Linked DNA regions of Nothobranchius furzeri. The protein of the gene in region 2 purifies or fractionates together with the protein of the main gene of each other region. This does not show direct contact. Links are inferred from orthologs where the notes say so. Each region holds a gene or a part of one and is shown on either strand. Other genes may lie near its edges.

Region 1 (6,492 bases), on a different chromosome or scaffold from region 2:
TCCCAGCAGTGTTCAAACACAGCAAGCAGAAACCATCCAACCATATCTTAGGAGGCGGTATACTTTAAGCAGAAGTTCCAGGTATAGTCCAAGTTGCTGAGGAAAACTGAAACATCTTCTATGGTGTTGACATTCAGCGTGTCGGCTGCATGAATCAGTCAGGACTGGTTAGACAGGTACACACATGAAGCAACACCTCACACACGTGGGCGTGTCATGCAGCTGGGAGTCTACATTCTTTCTTCTCATGTTGCGTTAATGCTGCTGCAGTGATCGCATTTGCACAACTACAAATGTTGCTTTACAGTTCTCAAAAACAACAGAGTACTCACCTTTTGTGCAAAAATTGTTGCAAAGTGTTTAAAAAAATCTTTGTGGTTCATGCCTAACAAAGAGACGAGTTACACTTGAGACACGGTATCACAGGTCTAACACACCAAGGTTTTATTTAGTTAGTAGATTAATCTGACTTGAACGCTTTTTGACTGTGTGAGGAAACCAAAGAACCCAGAAAGAGCCCACGCAGCCCTGTAGAAGATAAAAAAGGCAATCTGCTCACAAACAGATCTGCACATTCAACATAGACCTTCATGCTATGAACAGGCGGTGCTGAAACCACACTAACGTCCTGCCTGCACAGAGCATATTTGAAATTTAAATCAACCAACCAAAGGCACACCGACTTTATCAACTAGGTCGAATGAGTAAACACAGAATACCCAAATACAAGGTTTGCATTAGTTTTAGCTAACATGGAAGGAGAAAAAAACATAACAGTCATTCTAGACTTTTTTTGGGTACATAAAGTGGGAAAGAAATGTTTCAATGACAGATTGTGCAACACCACGGGTGCAGTTTCTCAAAAAGATGAGCAAAAGAACAGGTTTGATGCACAAATATGCACGAGTTGTGCCAAGCTTGTCGAACAGTTTATTTAAAAGTAAAACCAATAAATATTTTTAACATTAACGGCAAAACATATAGCTGTAGCTTTATTCTTTTGGATGTGTTCTGAATAAAACAGAAAAATCTTAAATCTAGAGGAAAAAGGTTCACCCAATATTCCATCCCAACACATCTGTTTAAGACATAAATGCACCAATTAGAGATGCAGATGACTGAGTGTTGATTTCTTTCCATCAACAGTTTGGAGCTCTCAGTTTTCATGCAAACAGGTGTCCAAGAAGTCAAGCTGCTCACTTGTGTCTACCCCAGAACCCCTCACAGTCACTAATGGCTGGCTTGATCTTGTCTCCGGTTGCACCCAAGCAGTATCTCCACTGATGAGGTCCATCTGGCACGCTGAAACAGCACCTACTTCTAACTACAGGCTGTAAAAATGAACGGTGGTGCATTCATGTTTTAACTTTAAAGCTCAGAACAGAAACCAGAACAGAAGCTTTTAGGAAACTGAGCTTCAAACAGAATCTTTAACACATTTTTTCTTCTGTTTTGGTTGAATATTCCAATCAGTCCATGTAGTCAAAGTCCTCTGGGATGCCAAAGGCTTTATTAATGTGGCCATCATCAAAAGAAAACTTCTTTTTGGTCCAGGACTTGATGGCAAAAACGTTGTCTGCAAAAAAAAAAAAAATAAAATAAAAATAAAGACAATTTCACCAATAAAGAAAAAGCCTTTTAATTCAGTCAGTTGGAAAAAAGAAAGGGATCGACACCAAGTGATCTCGCCAACAAAACCTATTAATCCTAGTAAATATTCAGGCTTTAGCCAAAGATTTGACTATTTCATGAAAAAAACCTCCAGACAGAAATGGAACCCGTGACTTCTGTGAATGCAAAAAATCTTCAGTCAACAAAACATTTCTGTTAACCAGCACTAAGTATTTTTAGCCTAACCAGTCAGGAGACTGGTTACCAGTATGACCAGCGGTCCGATCTCATTACGAAGTCAACAAATGCACAAGTCGAGCTAAGAGCTGGAGGAGGATGGCTGGATTGAGTCATCTATTAGGAGAGGCTCAAACTTAGTTTTTGTTTCTACTGTTGTATAAATAAATGCAGAGATCTGTTTCCATTAACTGTAATATAAAAAACATATAAAACAACAAAAATCTAAATTTACCATCGTCTCAAATCTGAAGAGTTAACGTCCAACAAAAGTCTTCAACCATTAGAACAACATCCCATAATATTTCCTTTACTACAACACAAGCCATAAAACTGATGGAAATGTTGCCTCTTGAACAACAGAACTACACAATCCCATAGAAAAAAGTTCATATTTTTAAGACGAGTTTCATTCATCTTGAATTGATGTCCATGTATAAACGTAAAAATGACTCACCTGTCCACCTGGAGACAGCTTCTTTTGCCACTCCGTTGGACTTTCCTGTAAGACACCAAAAACCTCCATTTATTTACCACTTCTGCATAAATGGTTTAAACAGCAAAAGAAAAATCTGGCAAAGGAGACTTTTAAGGCAGATCCTGAACTCGTAAGACTGTCGACAGCTCAGTGAGATGCTGAGAAGTGCGCTGAGTGCTACAGTCAATCTCACGCCTGAATTGTTAGATGTGAGTGATATTGCTGGTGTCTAACTAAAACAACATTGGCTTAAAAAGCTAAAACACAGCTACATAATGAACCGTAACCAGTCTGAGCTGCTTCTTCAAATTAAAATCTACAACAGGAAGTAAGAAAATCCAGTGGCAGAAATTACTTTACCTTCCATTTCACATAAGCAAATCAATCTGAGGTGAGTGCTTCCATAGCAATAAAACCACATTTTAACTTGATACTGATCACATAAGTATTTGGGCTCCATATGGAAGTGATTAACAACCTTAAGTTTAGTAAAGATAAACTACTACAGGTTAACTGCCACAACAGGGTTGGTAGTTTATAACTGCAGATGGGAGGAGGAAGTAACCGGATACAGCAATGAAATCTAACTCATTAAACTAGTGCTTCCAATTTGGACTTGCCATTTTATCCTTATTGCTCTTTTATTTAGCAGGAACAAGGCTCCTTGATCAAGAATAGTGTTTTTATAAAGAAAACTGGTCTTTAATTGATTTCAAAAGATGTTTATCATTCACTAACTAGTGGGTGTTATAAGTACAAATAAACTGTTGTGATTTTAACCCCATGTGTAACTGCAGCTGCCTAATCTGGGAACTACAGGTGTGAGGAGGACTGTTGATGAACTAAATTAACCCAAAACACAAGCCTTTTGCCCTGCTGTGTGCACACCCACCTCACCTGTTACTACAACTGGTTTATGTGGGCGTGGCAACAGCCTCGAACCAGAACATTTACAGCTGCGTGTGACTTGGCTTGATCAAGAGGGCGTTGTCTGTAGGTACACTTTAGTGGAATAAAACCAGATGGCTCAGCAGTTTCTGGTTCAACAGTGAGTCTGGAACTGACAGACAGCTTCTGATCAACCAAAATGTTTTAATCAATTATAATTTCATGTTTAAAGATACTGGAAATAAGAACTTTAGCATACAAGGCTTTCTACAAGTCTGACTTTAATCTGCAGCAGACAAAACACGAGAAACCTCAGAGCACAGCTGCACACGCCTCTACAAGGTTCAATCATCACTAAAGAGATAGTTATCTTTAACAAAACCCTGTGTGTGTGTGCATGTGCGCGCGTGTGCGTGTGTGTGTGTGTGTGTGTGTGTGTGTGTGAGGCCAGAAAGTAGATAATCAGACCTGCAGGCACGTAGACAGCTGGATGAAAACAAAGTTTGAAAGTAAGAGCACACAGGTGATTTCCCTTCTGTCTCAAATATTTGTCTAAGACATGTGGACAGCCTTGGCGGACACCACCAAGGCTGCCCTTTGTCACTGATACCATCCACAACTGTTATGGACAGGATATCTAGGTGCTGTCAAGGTGTTGGGCGGTTTGTTTTGGTGGCCTGAAGTTTTTTGTAGATATTGTGGTCCTGTTAACTCTCTTAGACTGATCTCCAGCTTTTACTTGGAGCGGTTCGCAGTGGAGCGTGAAGCAGCTGGAATGAGAATCAGCTTCTCTAAATCCGAGACCGTGGTCTTGGATCGGAAAAGGGTAGAATACCTTCTCCAGGTCAGGGACGAGGTCCTGCCTAAAGTGGAGAAGTTTAAGTATCTCGGGGTCTTGTTCACTTGAGGGAACAATCGATAGGCAAATTGGTGCTGCATCTGCAGGGATGCGAGCGTTGTACCAGACCGGTTGATCAACATTCCAACCCTCACCTACGGTCACGAGCTTTGGGTAGTGACCGAAGTATGAGATCGCAGATACAAGCAGCCAAAATGAGCTTTCTCCCCGGGGCGTCTGGGCCACCCGATTAGAGATAAAGCGAGAAGTAGATCTGCTGCTCCGCCACATCGAGGTGTCAATTGAGGTGGTTCGCGCATCTGGTTAGGATGCCTCCTGGACGTCTCCCTGGTTAGGTCCAACCAGGAGATCTAAAAAAGACCTAGAACACAATAGAGGGGTGGCCTGGGAATGCCTCAGGATAACCCCCGAGGAGCTGGCTCAAGTGGCTGGAGAAAGGGAAGTCAGGGCCTCTCTGCTTAGGCTGCTGCCCACACCATCCGACTCCAGATCAGCAGATGGATGGACACAGCAGCATTTATTGAATTAGAATACATTCTCAGAAAAAAGACCATTCTCTTAGTTAAAACCTGGTCACTTATACTCTTAGTGAAGTCAGGTATCATCTCCCTGGAGTTTAAAAAGAAAAAGTTCCTCTTAGCCATCGTCCACAACTCTGCAAATGCTCATGTCAGGGTCGGACAGCAGCTCCAGCACTACCTTCTCTGGCCAAAGCATACCTACTGTCACCAATCTGGGTGACAAAATGGACTCACAACTCACCTTTGACACCCACAACAAACACCAGTGTAAGACTTATTATTATCACCTTAGGCAAAACCACGTCGAATGCTAAGCCAGGCAGATGCAGAGAAGCTTGTCCATGCCTTTGTCTCCTCCAGTTGGACTACTGTAATGTTCTCCTCATCAGGGTTTCTGGAGAAACCATTCAGACTGCAATACATCCACAGCAGGGCTGCTAGGATATCTATTTACACACATATGTACGTAATAATACTTTAACTATGAATAAAAGTAAAACTGTAATTAACAAATTTTGTTAAAATGTCAACAATTAATTAATTAATTTAGCTTCATTTTCAACAGATGGAGTCAAACAAAAAAATTCCACTTATCAGCAACAAATCTGGTATCCCGATGGCTGGAAACCTTGTTCTATTGTTGCAGCAACAACCTCGACACACCAGATGTCACGGAGCTCTGAAGAAAATCGCGGGAGTCGTTGAAAAGGCAACAAAAAATAAGTTAGAACCAATCTACCAGTGTTGATGAGGGAAGCCTGTCATTAATATTTAACTAGTTTATGGTTCAAACAGCCATCCTTCACATGCAGAACGTTTCTGACTGCTGGCAGGTGGTATGTTCTGATGCTGAACCTTAAACTCTATAAACAGTGACAGTGTGATTCTTACAACATCTCACGATTCAATTCGATTCCAATTCTCGGGGTGAAGATTCCATTCAGAATCCATTCTCAATTCAAATCGATTCACAATAAATATTCTTAGCAACAAAGGATCAAAACCAGGATGTACTACTTTCTTCTGTAAGCTAGAAATCTGCCAGTTGTCTGATGTGGAGAGCCGTGAACGTAATGAAGGAGTGGGTTGCTCTGGAAGTCCATGCATCATTTACTAGAATGATACTTTACAGAAGCTGTTTGACTGCAAACAGTATAAGCAGAGAATGAGCTAGGAAAGGTTAGGTCACTGCCGAGCTGAGCTTAGATTTTAACATGTACTGTTTAACCATGAAATTTAAATGTAATAGGGTAAAACCCAGTGCATTTAACATAATGCTGCATTTTTGAAAATGGGTTGAAATATAACATGTTGGTGGAGCTGGGTTCCGACTATCGGTATGGTCTCCCTCTCCCCAGCGACAGCTCAGCGCATCTCTGATTGCAGCTGCGCCTGTCGGCTTGGGGAGCTCTCGGAGACCTCTGTGTTCCACCCAGTTTTACCCAGTGGTCAGCACGGCGGATCTCTGACTCAGAAGCTCCGGTGTTGTGCACAGTTATCTCCGGTTGTAGCTAGGTAGCTACCTCCGATAGCTTAGCTCCCACCTCCGCGTTAGCTTAGGGCAGGGGTGGGGAACCCTGGTCCATCGAGGGTCGCTATCCAGCATATTTTAGTTTCAACCCTGCATCATCACACCTGATTTCACTCAGCAGGTGATTAACAAGCTTCTGCAGAGCTTGATGAGCTGCAGAACAGAACCAACCACTGAATCAGAAGTGTTGGAGCAAAGACATGCAGGATACCGGCCCTCGAGGACCAGGGTTCCCCAATCCTGGCTTAGGGGTAGCTTGTAGCTACATTGCTTCAGTTTGACGGGTGTCGTCATTTGATCCCAACCTTACAGCCCCACCCTCAGCTCCACCTTTTCCCTTTTTTGGAATTTTCTAGGTTTGACGGAA
Region 2 (5,484 bases):
TAGCAGGAATTTAAAAAAAGCTGCCTTCAGCCACTTTCTGACCGTGTTTACATTCCCATAGAGCTGAGTGTAAAACACGAGAAAATTTCAACTTATGCTTTCAAACAGAAAAATGTTAGCACACATTTTAGCCTCATCGCTACAAAAATCTGACTTATTCCATTTATTTATACATGTGGTCCTTTTTTCCGGCGCAGCACGTCTGCCATTCCTGTCAACGGTCACTGCTCCAACGCTGAACGCAGCTTCTGTGGCGCCTCAGAGAAACACACTGGTGGTTTTAAAGTCCTCTGCCTTCAGTGTGGCGGTAAATAAATGGTTAGTTCCAAGAATGAGGCGGATAAATGTTGTAAATATGCCACAGGTCTCCAACAGGCTTTAGTGTTTAGTCACAGTTTAGCTGCAGGTGACCTGTCAAAAAGGTTCATTTAGCAGGTGTTGATTTTAATGAGCCTTCTTTGAATTTCAGCCCGATTTTAAATGCTGTCGTGTTTTCATGATCCGTGACGTCGCTCTGTGCTACAGTGAAAGCAGAAACTCTAAAATGCATCAGTTTGTTTTTTTTATTCCAAACCTCTGACTCTAGATTCTCTAGGATCAGCAGCAGATTTGAACGTTTTGTTCTTGTGGACATGATCTGCTGCGGAAGTCTGGCTCGTTTCATGTTCTAATATTTTTCTGTTTGAAATGTTTAAAAGGTTACGCACAGATAAAAACACACAGCCACTAAAGTCTCTCTAGTTTTTCCCGTAACGTCAAAACTGCACTCTTCCCTCTGCCCTGTTGTGTATATGTTCAGTGGACTGCTGCTGATGCTGTTTTGATGACATCGCATGGTGGCCGGTGGTGAATTAATCACCATCAGGAGAGAAACTTCAATTTATGGACTTAATATTTTATTTGCATACGAGAACATAAAGTGCAAAACCAACAGCAGAAAAGGGCAGGATCGTAGTTTTGTAGTGGTGACCAGCGAATGAGCCCAAAGCAGTTTTGGCAGTATTAACAACTGTGAAAATGTTGATTTAGAAACAGCTGAACAGTTCACTCTATATAATAATGTATGCAGCAAACTATCTGAAGCCTGTTAGAGGTTTGAATCATTTGCTGACTTTCTATGTAAGCTCAGGATAATGAAGATGCTTTAAAGGGGAGAAAACACCACAGTTGCCTTTAGGGTCACAATCAGCCCTCGATGCAGTAGCTACATGTAGTCTAGCCAATAAGAATGCTAACTTTTGTACAAATGTGTTTGATTTTTTTTCCTTTTATTATTTATTCGAAAGAAATGTTAAATAAAGTGGCTCAAAAAGCTCCGATGTGTGGTCCACTTCCTTGTTCAAGAACTTGGAACCACCACCTTACAGTCCTCGTCCGTCTCCACGCCAACCTCTTCCTGTAGAAGAACAAAGCTTGGAGGATTTGTTTTTCCATGTAGGAAATGTGATGTTGCTTCTTCAGCTCACCAGGAACTCCTTTTTGCTCTTTGGATATCCCTCCAGGATGGCGTTCATCATCTCTGAAGCCTGACAGACCCAAATAATTATTAAATGCTCGTTGCTGAAAACGTATCTGGTGTGAAGGCATTTCTAACTCCAAATGAATACATGTACCAATCTCTTCCTCTTTTTCCACTCCTTCACATAAACCTCTTGCTCTTTGTAAACCTGCAAATGAAAACATGAACGTGTGTTTCAGGGGAAAGCAGACCACCTCGCCAGAACGGAGACTTTATAGGTGCACACCTTCTCCTTCTCCTCTGGTGTGACATGGTTCGTAGCTGACTTGATCTTCTCCACGCGTGCTCTGTATCCAGAGCACTCCGCTTTCAGCTCTTTAATCTCTGCCACCATCTCTTCTGTAGTGAGCGAACTGTTCAGGCCCTTCAGCTCTGTCATAAACAAGAGTTAAACTCTGGGTCAAGCTGCAACAAGAGGCACCAGTCAGCAGGGTCCTGTACCTGCGTCTAGCTGTCTGCAGCTCTGTGTGAGGGACTGCAGCTCTGCACCAAGCTCTGAGATCTGACCATCCATCGCTTTCAGGTCATCATCCTTTACATCTTTAAACTGATTCTGTTTGCAGAGATTAACAATAGTAGAGTTAGGCATCCCAAAGCATGCTCCTGCCTACAGCAACACAACAAACCTGATCAGCAAAGTAGATCTTCTGCTTGCCATATATTTTCTCCTTTATTTTGCCCTCCTGAGCAAGCAGCTCCATGGCTTTGACCACCGCCTGTTGGGTGAATATAGTCCAACAATAGAGCAATGGCTACACAACACCAGCCCGAGGAGCGGATCTCACCGTTTTGCCCAATCCATGCTGCTTCTGCAGATTACAGAAGACGTCCTGAGCGCTGTAGGGTCGGTTCTTCTCGTTTAGGTAGGCAAGGATGACTGCCGCCCCTACGACAGCGATACATTATGATTTATAAATGGTTTCTTCCTACACAACAAAAACTCAAATCCGTAGGTGTTTAGCTAACGTTAGCTGGATGCTAACCGAGCTAAGCGGTCATTTTATTCCCGACGAGCTCAAACAATCGTTGCCTGCTCTTGTTGGATGTCTTAAAAGTCAAATACGTCGCTTAAATCTAAGATATTCTATAATAAAGATCACCCTAAACATACCGTTATCTTTTTTACTCATTTCAACCTGTCCGTTCTCACGTTAGCTGCCCTGATGTTGAGTTTCGCGCAATAATTTGCGTCACGCTAAAGATCGTTTATAAATGAGGATATCTCACTCTGACAGGAAAAGTTTCTCGGAAAAACCCAGATTTCATTTGTTGCCTTTATTTTTCAATATAAGCATTTTTATTTATACTTAGCTAATGTTGTACACATTATTTGTATCTTCAGCAGTTCTTTTCCATTATGTTTGCGTGGTTTCCAAAACAAAGTGAGACCCCTGTCATTTTGACTAAATCTTAATTTGTTCTAAGTGATAAATAAGGTTTAAAGAGCAAGTCACCCCCAAATAAACTTTTTTTTTTGCTGATAAACTAAATAAACGAGTGTCTAATCGTGCTGCAGACACGTGTCGTCAATAATTTGGCATTTCAGTGCATCTTAGTTAAAATTTAAATATTCTGCCTAAAACTGGCAGTGTTGTGCCGTTGTCAGGTAAAAACTCTGCACTGTATTTTAATTTAAATCTGCCACCGCTATTGGCTAAGAGGTATGCTATGATGTAAACTGGTATGATGTCACAATGCTGTCGTGAGCCTGTGTGTGTGTATTTGTTAGCAGCTCGGCCTTCTCGGTCTGCCAGGCAACAGCATTTGTTGCATTTTTCAAACATGAAGTGGGAGTAGACTCTGGTAGGGGTTTACTTGCTCTTTAAAGCCATCCTGGTTTAGTTCAATTTTAAATGTCACACGCATTATTATTATTATTATGAGACAAAAATCTTTGCAAACATTTTATTCAATGCAGTTTCAAAACATCTGCAAACCAGACAGAGAAATCAGCACTAAGCACATCACAGGATCACCTCTGCTGAAGATTTGTTAGACTTTTCATGAAGCAGCTTGGAAGATTCAGACTGAATCCTACAAAGGGAACATTTTAGGTGTCAGCAAGATTCCATCAGTGCAGCTTTTTACACCACACAGCTGTATTATGCTGTGGTAAAAATCTTGCAAACTCGTGAAAAACAATAATAAAAATAACTAAAGAAAGATTAATGTGGTTTTCTATTAAAAACAGAATTTTAGACTCGATATTTGGATTTCAATAAAATCTTAACTTAATATTTTTTGGTTTAAAGTGCCATTTCCTCTTTCTTATTTATTGAAGAATCAGGCTGATCAGCTCAAAAGAAAGCATTTATAGATGAACAACTAAAACATTTTTTTAATCCAAATTTGATGTAAACATGGGTCAATTTAACAATACGCTCTAACAGAGAATTTGATGACGATCCCATAAAGTTCAGCCTGGCTGTTGAATCCATCAAAAATGATCCAATTTAAAGTGATTTGATCTGATCTGGGATTTCTTTACAAACGAGAAACACGTCATAGAGACAGCTCGTGCAGGGACAGCCAAACTAAAAATAATCAACACTATTTCCACACATTCATAAATATACTGCACAAATATAACAGTACTCTGCTGGTTCAGGTAAGACTGATGTGGCCGACTAAATAAGCTCCCAAAGACAGATGTTTGCTTCTGTAATCAGAAAAACAAAACAGCGGAGTCATCCTGACAATTCAAATTTTTATGCAGATCAGTGAAATTTTAGAAAACACAACAGCTAACAAGAGTTTAAAAGCTAAAAGCTCTGAAAACATGCAACATAAAATAACCCCCCCTCTCATAAGAGGACAGAAACGTCCCACCACTAAATCCCATCTCAAAGGTTTGATAACTGGTTCATGAAGGATCGACGACTCCAGCAATGACTGAATGCACTTTAACATTAAAAGCTCCTTCATGCTGTCATTACTCATCAAAGACGGCTCAGGTTAAGCAACAGGAATGTCACATTTGGTCCTACAATAAAAAGCCCTGAAGGTCAAGTCCTCTGTGTAAAAAAAGGTTTCACAGGGCGGAGCTGTGTGTTCTGGGTACGAACAATGCCGTGTACCCAAATGTGTGATGTAGTTTACTTTGTTTTTGTGTTTCCTATTGCTCAGCCTACAACCTAAAAACTCCATCATCAAGAATTCAAACGTATAAAACAAGGATTTAAAAAGAGGAGAATGAAATACTTCACAGTGACTTACTGATGCCTACCAGAAGCAGGGCTGCTGGAACCTAAAATCACCTCACACGCACACACACGCGCGTGCGCGCACGCACACACACACACAATCATCATTTTACACTCTACCCACATAACTGCACACCCTCAGCAAAACACACACACACACTTCACTGTGGTTTACCAAGCAGGCTGGAGAAGAAGTTAGACCCCTGGCTGTCACCCCGTCTAGAACCCCCCCCTCCGAAGGGATCCATCTGGTTCAGTTCAGACTGATCCAGCATTTCAAAGTCTTCTGCATCCAAGTCCGTGTCAAACTCAGAGCTGGACTGTTTGCGGTAGCTCCGGTGGCCCCCGACCTGAGGGTGACCTTGCCTGCGTTGAGTGGTGGGAGGCCGAGGTTGCATTGCGCCCGCCAGCGCTGCCTGAATCATGTTGCTGGCAATGACTCCAGCCAAGTCTCCACTGATATCTGAGACAGGTGGAAGACCGCCGAGAGAAAGTTCTGAGTCCAGATCCTCCTGATCCGAGTCCAGATGAGCATCAACATCCAGCACTGAGGCCCGGTGACTAGCAGGTCCAGACAGACCCAGACTGGGCAGTCCGATGCTTGTGTCGTCTTCATCATCCATCAGGGTGGCATCGGGGTTAATGGATGGGAAGTCTGGGAGGTCTTGGGCAAAAGATTCTTCTGCGTCACTGTGTCTGTCGAGATCTGATCAAATGCAGACAGAAAGACGTCAGAGGAGAGATCAAAAAAGAAGATCAAGC

Evidence for each region. The genes of interacting proteins can lie anywhere in the genome.
Region 1: the proteins of psmc3ip (region 2) and mnd1 purify together in Homo sapiens (co-immunoprecipitation; 6 studies listed by BioGRID and IntAct, counting the BioPlex papers as one, with this or other methods). This does not show direct contact. The link is inferred for Nothobranchius furzeri from reciprocal best matches to the Homo sapiens genes PSMC3IP and MND1.

Annotation. Positions count from the first base shown.
Region 1 is NC_091744.1:16,841,405-16,847,896, forward strand, and holds the end of mnd1 (meiotic nuclear division protein 1 homolog), read right to left. Parts: intron 5,274-6,492; coding exon of another isoform or gene 5,188-5,273; exon of another isoform or gene 4,943-5,187; intron 2,351-4,942; coding exon 2,306-2,350; intron 1,577-2,305; coding exon 1,470-1,576; 3' UTR 908-1,469; downstream 1-907. UniProt on the Homo sapiens protein: Required for proper homologous chromosome pairing and efficient cross-over and intragenic recombination during meiosis.
Region 2 is NC_091745.1:7,581,753-7,587,236, reverse strand, and holds psmc3ip (homologous-pairing protein 2 homolog), read right to left. Parts: upstream 2,745-5,484; 5' UTR 2,650-2,744; coding exon 2,631-2,649; intron 2,406-2,630; coding exon 2,305-2,405; intron 2,236-2,304; coding exon 2,146-2,235; intron 2,073-2,145; coding exon 1,961-2,072; intron 1,892-1,960; coding exon 1,746-1,891; intron 1,668-1,745; coding exon 1,614-1,667; intron 1,527-1,613; coding exon 1,467-1,526; intron 1,397-1,466; coding exon 1,340-1,396; 3' UTR 1,118-1,339; downstream 1-1,117. Other genes in the region: retreg3 (reticulophagy regulator 3), read right to left, coding at 4,884-5,428. UniProt on the Homo sapiens protein: Plays an important role in meiotic recombination. Stimulates DMC1-mediated strand exchange required for pairing homologous chromosomes during meiosis.